2 linked regions of the Sus scrofa genome follow. Each later gene encodes a partner of the first gene's protein in a complex. Links are inferred from orthologs where the notes say so. Each region holds a gene or a part of one and is shown in the gene's direction. Other genes may lie near its edges.

The links.
Region 2: the proteins of RNASEH2B (region 1) and RNASEH2C are in contact, whole or in part, in a crystal structure (PDB 3PUF), measured with the Homo sapiens proteins. The link is inferred for Sus scrofa from reciprocal best matches to the Homo sapiens genes RNASEH2B and RNASEH2C. Residues at the interface, in NP_078846.2 of Homo sapiens: Arg14, Gln15, His16, Val17, Phe18, Leu19, Val20, Ser21, Glu22, Leu24, Leu35, Met36, Phe37, Val38, Lys39, Leu52, Glu62, Lys64, Phe66, Glu68, His70, His71, Ser72, Trp73, Phe74, Ile75, Asn76, Gln77, Ser78, Val79; in NP_115569.2 of Homo sapiens: Ile9, His12, Arg13, Val14, His15, Leu16, Ser18, Ala27, Thr28, Leu29, His30, Leu31, Leu32, Pro33, Cys34, Glu35, Val36, Ala37, Val38, Asp39, Gly40, Pro41, Ala42, Pro43, Val44, Gly45, Phe48, Phe63, Val75, Pro77.

Annotation. Positions count from the first base shown.
Region 1 is NC_010453.5:16,908,892-16,913,471, reverse strand, and holds the start of RNASEH2B (ribonuclease H2 subunit B), read left to right. Parts: upstream 1-1,665; 5' UTR 1,666-1,805; coding exon 1,806-1,857; intron 1,858-4,580. UniProt on the Homo sapiens protein: Non catalytic subunit of RNase H2, an endonuclease that specifically degrades the RNA of RNA:DNA hybrids. Participates in DNA replication, possibly by mediating the removal of lagging-strand Okazaki fragment RNA primers during DNA replication.
Region 2 is NC_010444.4:6,561,492-6,564,990, forward strand, and holds RNASEH2C (ribonuclease H2 subunit C), read left to right. Parts: upstream 1-1,601; 5' UTR 1,602-1,676; coding exon 1,677-1,848; exon of another isoform or gene 1,849-2,038; coding exon 2,039-2,223; exon of another isoform or gene 2,224-2,302; coding exon 2,303-2,422; exon of another isoform or gene 2,423-2,663; coding exon 2,664-2,690; 3' UTR 2,691-2,790; downstream 2,791-3,499. Other genes in the region: histone acetyltransferase KAT5, read right to left, coding at 3,255-3,389, 3,482-3,499.

The DNA of each region.
Region 1 (4,580 bases):
TTTTTTGTGTAAATTTACCTATGTGGTTTTCTGCCATGAAATCTCTTCCTGCTTCTTTTTCCTCTTGTTATAAAACATCTATGTTGCTATGTGTAGCTTTAGTTCATTGTTTCTGACTGCTGCATAGTCCATGTAGAGTATACACTGCAGCATCTTTTAGAGTAACGGTTTGAAATAAACTTAGTATTGCACACGAGGGCATGGTCACGTAACCTTGGCACATGAGCAGTGTGAAACAGCACGTCTCCAGTCATAGTTCTGCATGACATGGGAAACTTGTTTACAGCAACGTTAAGGGAGAGAAGCAGGCAAAATTGTTTCTGCACTGTGAAAACAACCACATGAAAACACACATGAAAACAGCCGGTGGCTGGAAAAGATCAGAGAACGACAAAAACAGCTCTAGAGCAATAATACCGACCTGTTGCCTGCCCCGGGGCTGGCATCTGGGTCTCCCTCCTCAACGGTCCTCTCTGCCAGGTGTGGCCTGCAGTCAACTTACTTAGCTGCATTTCTCCCCCCTCATGGGAAATGGGATTGAAATTAAAAAAACCCTTCAGAAGGCTGAGATAGATCTAGTGCTGCTGAATTTAACTATCTTCAAGATTTAAACCAAAAAACCTAAGTGCATTAAAGTTATGTATACTCATAATGCATGCATATTCAGATATATATGTGTATGTAGGAGTATATATATGTCTATACGTGTATAGACATATATATACACATACATATATCTTTTGCATTTTAATTAACATTATAAAGGGAAATGTTTCTGTTTTTGAATATCTTTTGAAGAAAAATAAATATACCCCAAATACCATTTGTGCAAAAAAAGAAAAAAGAGAGACATGAACTTGTGAATGGCAAGATCCTGTTAGAATAGACAGACTTAACAGTAATTGCCCCTGGGGAAGAGGGCTGGAGATCTGGGTTATTAGCAGGGAGTCATACTTTTCTTTAAAGTATGAGACAGATGTTTATTACCACCTTTTCTAAAACCGTGTACAATTAAAATTTTATTTTAAAAGTTTAAATCTTCAAATTTCATGACTCTAACTTTTTAAATAACGCTTTTAAAATGTCTTGATTAACTCATTGCAAATTGTCTTTCAAAGCAAATGCATATTTTGAGCCTCAAATTGTGCACCTCTTCGTAGTGACAAGGACTAACCCCAAGTTGAGGACTGCTTTACCTGTGTCACGAAGCACACAGCACACTAGATTCGGGCATTACTTCCAACGCAGGATGCAAATAATAATCAAGGTACGATGACCAGAGTAGCATTAGGATTTGGACGTGGATTCGCTCCAGGCTTTCCCTTCTGCCAGGTGTGTGCGAGTCCACCAGCCTTGGGGTCCCCACTCCCCCACTGGGAAGACCCTGGGCCGCTGCAAGCAGAGACCCGGCGCCCCGGGCTGAAGCGATCCGCCCGCCGCCGCCGCCGCCGCCGCCGCCGCCGCCGCCCTGGGTCGCCGCCCAGCGCGTCGCGTCACTGGGCGCCGCGGGTGAGCACCTCCCATTGGCCGCGCCGCGGGGCGGAGGGGCCGCGACCCTTTCCGCCGGCCTGGGCCTGGCGCTCAATTTAAACACTTAACCTAAGCCACTGGCGGGCTCCGGAAACGAAACGAAAAGAAAGCCCGAGGTTCTCCCCGCGGGCCGCCCTCCGGGCCCGCCCTCTGCACGCTGCGCTCCTCGGTAAAGTCCCTTCTCCCGCCATTTGCCGCGGGGCTCTGGCCGGGCCCGCGCTCCGCGTGCAGAGGCCTGCGGCCACCCGGAGCGCTCGGCGGGCACGGCGGGCAGCATGGACCGCAGAGACGGGGCTTGCGGCCGGCAGCACGTGTTCCTGGTCCCAGGTAAACACGACCGCCCCGGGGCAGCGGCGCGCTCGGCCCGGCCCCTTGTCCCCCAACCGCCGCGCGGGAGCGCGCGCCGAGCGTCCGCGGGGGCGGCGCCCAGGCGGGTTCTCAGCGGCGGCCCCGGCGCGCGCACCCCGGCGGGCCCCCCTGTCCGCGCGCAGCCGAGGTACACCCCGCGCAGGCCCTGCGCGCCCCTCGGCCGCGCGCGCGGGACTCGAGTGTCTCTCGGAACACGTGGTTCTTCATTTCGGTTTCAAGTTCTGTATCTGTGCGTTTCAAAACCCGAGCTGGAAGCGCAAAAACCGACCGAGCGGATTTTCCCCCTTGGGGTTCTTTGTAGATCAGGTGGGCTGGAGACTGCGGCCCAGGCCAGCGGAGAGCGGCGCAGGTTCCGCAGTTGTCCGCTCCTGGGATGTAATTTGATACCCCTCGCCACTCGACAGCCGGCCAGGCATCTGGGACCTACTAGATCGGAACCGAGGATCCAGTAGACCCGCATCGGCCTGGAGGCTGTGGTGTCTTAACCCCATCCCTTCCCTGGGACAGGCCTTGGTTGGTGAGGCAGGAGGGAAGCTGTGTGGCAGGGGTTAGGACAAGGGTGATTCAAAGAGATTCAGGCAGGTAGCTAATGATGGGAGTGGTGGAACCTGCCTTTTCAGCCTCCCCGGGGTGATGATTCAGGGACCGCAGAGGCTTCGGATGATGGACATCAGTTGCCAGCCATGATTGGCATGAAGTGTCAGAATAAATGGAGTTGGGACCAGGGAGTGCAGGTCAGAAAGGTTTGGCCCTTTCATGGGATGATAGATTGATTTGATGACATAACATTGGATATAAGGAAAACCCATTGTTTTCAGTATCTAACTTGGAGACTTTATTCGGCAAATATGGTATTTTTCAAGTAAATGATACTCTGATAACAATATAGATGGCCATTAATCTAGATTTTTATGGTGGATATTGAAAATTGTTACATGACAATCTGTCGATATTTTTTGTGTTTTACTTTTTCTCCATTTGTAAAGAAGTATGCATATAGTAACATATACAAGTTTAAGCAGGTGCAACTCAATGAACTTTTCATATATCTGTACCCCTGTAAGCATTCCTCATGTCAAGACCTAGAACTTTTCCAGTAGGCTTCTCTTACCTGTTGCTGGATAGCCCCAGTAACCCCGCTGCTGACCTCTGTCACCAGAGGTTCCTTCTGCTTGTTGGGGTAAGTGTGTGTTCCTTGGTGCCAGGCCTCTCTCACTCAGCGTTACATCTGTAAGTTTCATCCATATTCTGTGTAGCAGTAGTCTGGTTTGTTGCTTCCTATGTGTCTTTATCATATGTATGTTCTTAATATTTATCTCGACTTCTGTGAATGGATATTTAAATTATTTCCTGTTTGTAACCATTATGAGTTACACTTCTAAGAACACTCTTTTTAGGAGGCTTTCTCAGCAGTGTAGACTTAGGAGTGGAATTGCTAGTCCTGGATACTGTATGTTCAGCTTTGGTAGATGCTGCTCAGCGGTTTTCCAAAGTGGTAGCACCGATTTCCACTCTCACTGGCCGGTTGCTGCACATCCTCAATGGAGATTTATAGTTTGTAGAGGAAAAGTTCATGCAAAGTTCAGGTCTTCACAGAATCCAGCAAAGGGCTACCCGATACATGCTTTACCGTAGAAAAATTCTCACTGTTGTCACATTAGTTCAATGAGATTTTAATGATGGGACTCATTAAGAATCAAGTGGGTTATTTTTCTTCAGATGCACGTAATGACTGAGAATAATTCGAGTTGCTTATCTTGTTCTGTTTAGTCAGTACGGACATTTTCATTCTGGGTTTTTTTTTTTTCAGGTTTATTTATTTATTTATTTATTATTACTCAATGAGTTTATTACACTTGTAGTTGTGCAATGACCGTCACAATCCAATTTTATAGGATTTCCATCCCACAACCCCAGCGCATCCGCCGACCCCTGACCTGTCTCCTTTGGAAACCATAAGTTTTTCAAAGTCTGTGCATCAGTATCTGTTGTGCAAAGAAGTTCATTGTGTCCTTTTTTCAGATTCCACATGAGTACTGACATTTTCATTCTTAAAGTATGTTTGTGTCCTCATCACATTAAACGTAAAAACCTTTAAGGTAATTATTGATTGCATCTCTGGAAGTTGTAGGTTTAATACGTCTACTGGCTGGTGGCAAGAGGAGTTTCAGTCCAGTTCCTGTTCAGAGCTGAGCCCGTACTGTGGCCTCTGAACTTTTTGGAGGAGGCTGAGCCAGCTGTTAAGGAACTGTTAAAAAGCACAGTGTATGTGGTTAGGCAGGCGGTTTGGAGACAGAACTTGAGCTTCTAGTGCCTGTAATTCCTCTAGCTGGCCTTTACTGCCACCTGCAGGCTGTGGGGGTACAAACACTGGTGTTTGATAAGTAACTGCTGTGCCACTGTGCTTCTCAAACATGAGGGCATCAGTCACTGGGGAGCTGGGTACCATCCCCAAAGTGTCTGATTTTGTACATCTGGAGTGGGGGCTGAGAATGTACGTTTCTAGCAAGTTCCCCAGTGATGCTGATGCTGCTGGTCGGAGGACACCCCTAGGAACCACTGCAGTAGCACCAGCCCTTGGGAGCTAGGAACGGCCAGTCTCAGGCTTCGCTGTCTTTATGGTGGACCAGAATTACCAATGGCAGGGCAGTGCATGTCGGCACAGGGTACGAGGCCCATCT
Region 2 (3,499 bases), on another chromosome or scaffold:
GAGGCCAGGAATCGAACCCGAAACCTCATGGTTTCTAGTCGGATTCATTAACCACTGCACCACAACAGGAACTCAAGGAATCGTTTTAATCTTTTAAAGTTTTTTGTTTTAATTTTTTACACTAAGAATATACCATTGGGGGGAAAACTCAAGGAAAAAATCTAGAACCCACTGCACCTGGCGTGGATTGAACCTGCATCCTGGCACTGCAGAGACGCTACCAATCCTATTGAACCACAGAGAGAATTCCAGAGCTCACTTCTTCTAAGGGCACTAATTCCACCCTGAGGCTCCATTCCCTTTGGGCTGCCTGCAGGAAGTCCTTAGCACTTATTGGACACGTGTCGGCTGTTACTTTTTGACTTTTCGTAGCTGAATGGAACACATTAAGAATTCTTTCCAGGGAGGAGTTCCCTTCGTGGCTCAGTGGCTAACGAACCCAACTAGGTTCCATGAGGATCTGGGTTCAATCCCTGGCCTCGTTCAGTGGGTTAAGGATCTGGCGCATTGCCTTGAGCTGTCGTGTAGGTCACAGATGTTGCTCAGATCCCATGTTGCCGTGGCTGTGGCTTAAGCTGGCAGCTGCAGCTCCAATTCGACCCCTAGCCTGGGAACCTCCATATGCCACAGGTGTGGCCCTAAAAAGCAAAAAAAAAAAAAAAAAAAAAAAAAAAAAATCTAGGGAGAGACAAGATTAAGATGGCAAGATAGCAGAGCAGAAGGACTGGAACTCACCTTCTCTCATGAAAACAACAAAATTACCACCAACTGCTGAACAACCTTCAACAAAATAGACTGGAAACTACCAAAAAAGATATCCTACCCCAAAAGACAAAGAGGAGGCCACATCAAGATATTAGGAAGGGCGATTACTCAATATAAACCTCATACCCATTGGGTGAGCGGCCCACAGACGGGAAAGTAACCATATTGCAGAGGCTCACCCACGGGAGTAAGAGTTCTGAGCCCTACATCAGGTTCCCAACACCTGGGGATCTGGCATTGGGAGGAGGAGCCCAAGGAGCATTTGGCTATGATCCAGCAATCCCACTCTTGGGCATCTATCCAGAGAAAACCATACTTGAAAAGATACATGTAACACAATGTTCATTGCAGCACTACAGACAATATCCAAGACACAGAAGCAGCTTAAAGATCCATCAACGAAGGAGTGGATAAAGATGTGGTACATATACACAATGGAATATTAGCCACAAAAAGGAATGAAAATAATGGCATTTCCAGCAACTTGGATGGACCTAGAAATTACCATGCTAAGAGAAGTTAGACAGTGAGACACTAACATCATATACTATCACTTATACGTGGAATCTAAAAAAGGGGTACAATGAACTTAATAACTGATTCACAGACTTTGAAAAACTTACGGTTACCAAAGGCCTCAGGTTGGGATGGAATCTGGGTTTGGGATGCAAATGTTCTAAAATTAGGTTATGATGGTCGCACAACTACAATTATAATAAAATTCATTGAATCCTTAAAAAGAAAAAAAATCTAGGACCTGAACACCGGTGGACAAGATTGCAGAAGCCTCAAAGAGGGACTACGCTTCCCAGGAAGCTCTGGGCTGAGAGTCCCGGGCCTCCCGACAGGCTCTGCGCGCTTCACGCGCCAGCTTCGGCCTTAGCCAGCGAGCGGCGGGGTGCGGCCGAGCCATGGAGAGCAGCGACGAGGAGTCGGTGCACAGGCGCCGCGTGCACCTGCGCCCTTTTACGCTGCGCAGTCCCGCCCCCGTCACGCTGCACCTTCTGCCCTGCGAGGTCCCGGTTAGCCGGCCCGCCCCGGTGGGGCGCTTCTTCACCCCAGCCATCCGCCAGGGTCCCTACGGTGAGCGCTCGCGGCGGGACTACGGCTCCCGGCAGCCCCCGCGCCGGCGTCGGGCTCTCCTCGGCAAGGAGCGGCGCGAGGGCTCCCGGGGCTCGTGGTCCACCGGAGGTGGCGGGGACGGCTGCTCCCGGGCTTGCCCCGCTAGGCCTTGCATCAGGCGTCACTGTGGCCCTGCGCCTGCCTCTTCCAGGGCTGGAAGCGTCCTTCCGGGGCCGCAGTCTGCGCGGCGAGGAGGTGGCGGTGCCGCCCGGCCTTGTGGGATACGTGATGACAGAAGAGCAGGGAGAGGTGTCGGTGGGGAAGCAGGACTTCTCGGAGGGGTCGGAGGAGGACCACGAAGTGATGGAATCCCCGGAGACGCTGGAGCGGGACTTCGTGAGCACCGGGGTATAGGGTTGGAAGGGAGTGCAGGCGGGAGCGGCGGCTCGGGTGCTGAGCTGGGACCCTTCCCCAGGACCGCTTTATCGGCGCCACAGCCAGTTTCAGCAGCTTCACCCTGTGGGGCCTGGAGACTATCCCTGGTCCGGATTCCAAAGTGCGTGGGGCCCTAACCTGGCCCAGCCTTGCTGCAGCGGTGAGTGGATGGATGGGCCCTTCCCTCCCAGGCTCCCCTTCAGAGTTGTTTGCTGAATCTTGCCCTTGAGTGGACTTGGGGCTTTGGGGCTGGGGAAAACACTGGGGCAGCATGGCCTCCCACCACTCTTCCCTGTCCTGTCTATGATTCTGAGCAGTTGGATCTCTGCCCTGAGTATCTGGGCCAGCTAGTCACTATACTGCAGCAATCCGATAGTAGGGATGATTTCCTCCTGTTGCAGATTCACGCCCAGGTACCAGAGGACTGAAAACCAGACCTTGAAACTGAAAGCCACTGATCCCTTCACTCCAGTGAACCCCTTCACTTTGGGAGCCTTCGTCACCCCAATAAAGGCGCTCTTCACAGAACCTGTGAGTGTGCCAGTGCTGTCTTCTCCCACAAGAACCTTTCATGGCTCTGGCCCATAGAAACAGTTTATTGCCAGGGGGCAGTGGGGCAAAAGAGGCCAGAATTTTGCAGCCAGTACCTCCCCCCCATTCCTACTTTACAAAAGAAAATTGTACAGCCACCAGCCCCCTGTACAGAGCACCCCACCCCCTATCTCACTGTACACAGCTGCCTGGCTCCCTCTGGTCCCTGGTTCACAGCAGGCCTGGGCCTGCAGCCAGCTGACCTTGGAGTTGACCTGAGCCCTGAGCTCTCCTTGGTGCTAGGCACCAGCTGGCCTTTACCAGGCCTGTCCTCTCCCTGTGGAGCTGTCCTCAGCCCTGTCTCCCCTTGCTGTGCCTCTTGGAGACCCCAGTGGGGGCGGGATAGGCTGTCAGCCCCAGTTCTGCTGGCTTTGCCGGCACTGCTAATGGGCAGTGCCTGGTCACCACTTTCCCCTCTTGCTCCAGTCCTTGGGAGTGAAGTGCAGACACTTGGAGTCGATCCGAAGAAGCCGCTTGAGCATAGCCCGTTCATGCCCGTCCACGATGTCCTCCGACAGTGTGAGGATATACTGGCCCTGGACGGGAGACGGGGCCAGGCAGGTCAGCCCGAGCAGGGCTTGCACGCTGCTCCCCTGCACACACCTGTCTCCCCTGCCTGCCTCCCTACCTTGTAGTAGTTGATGAG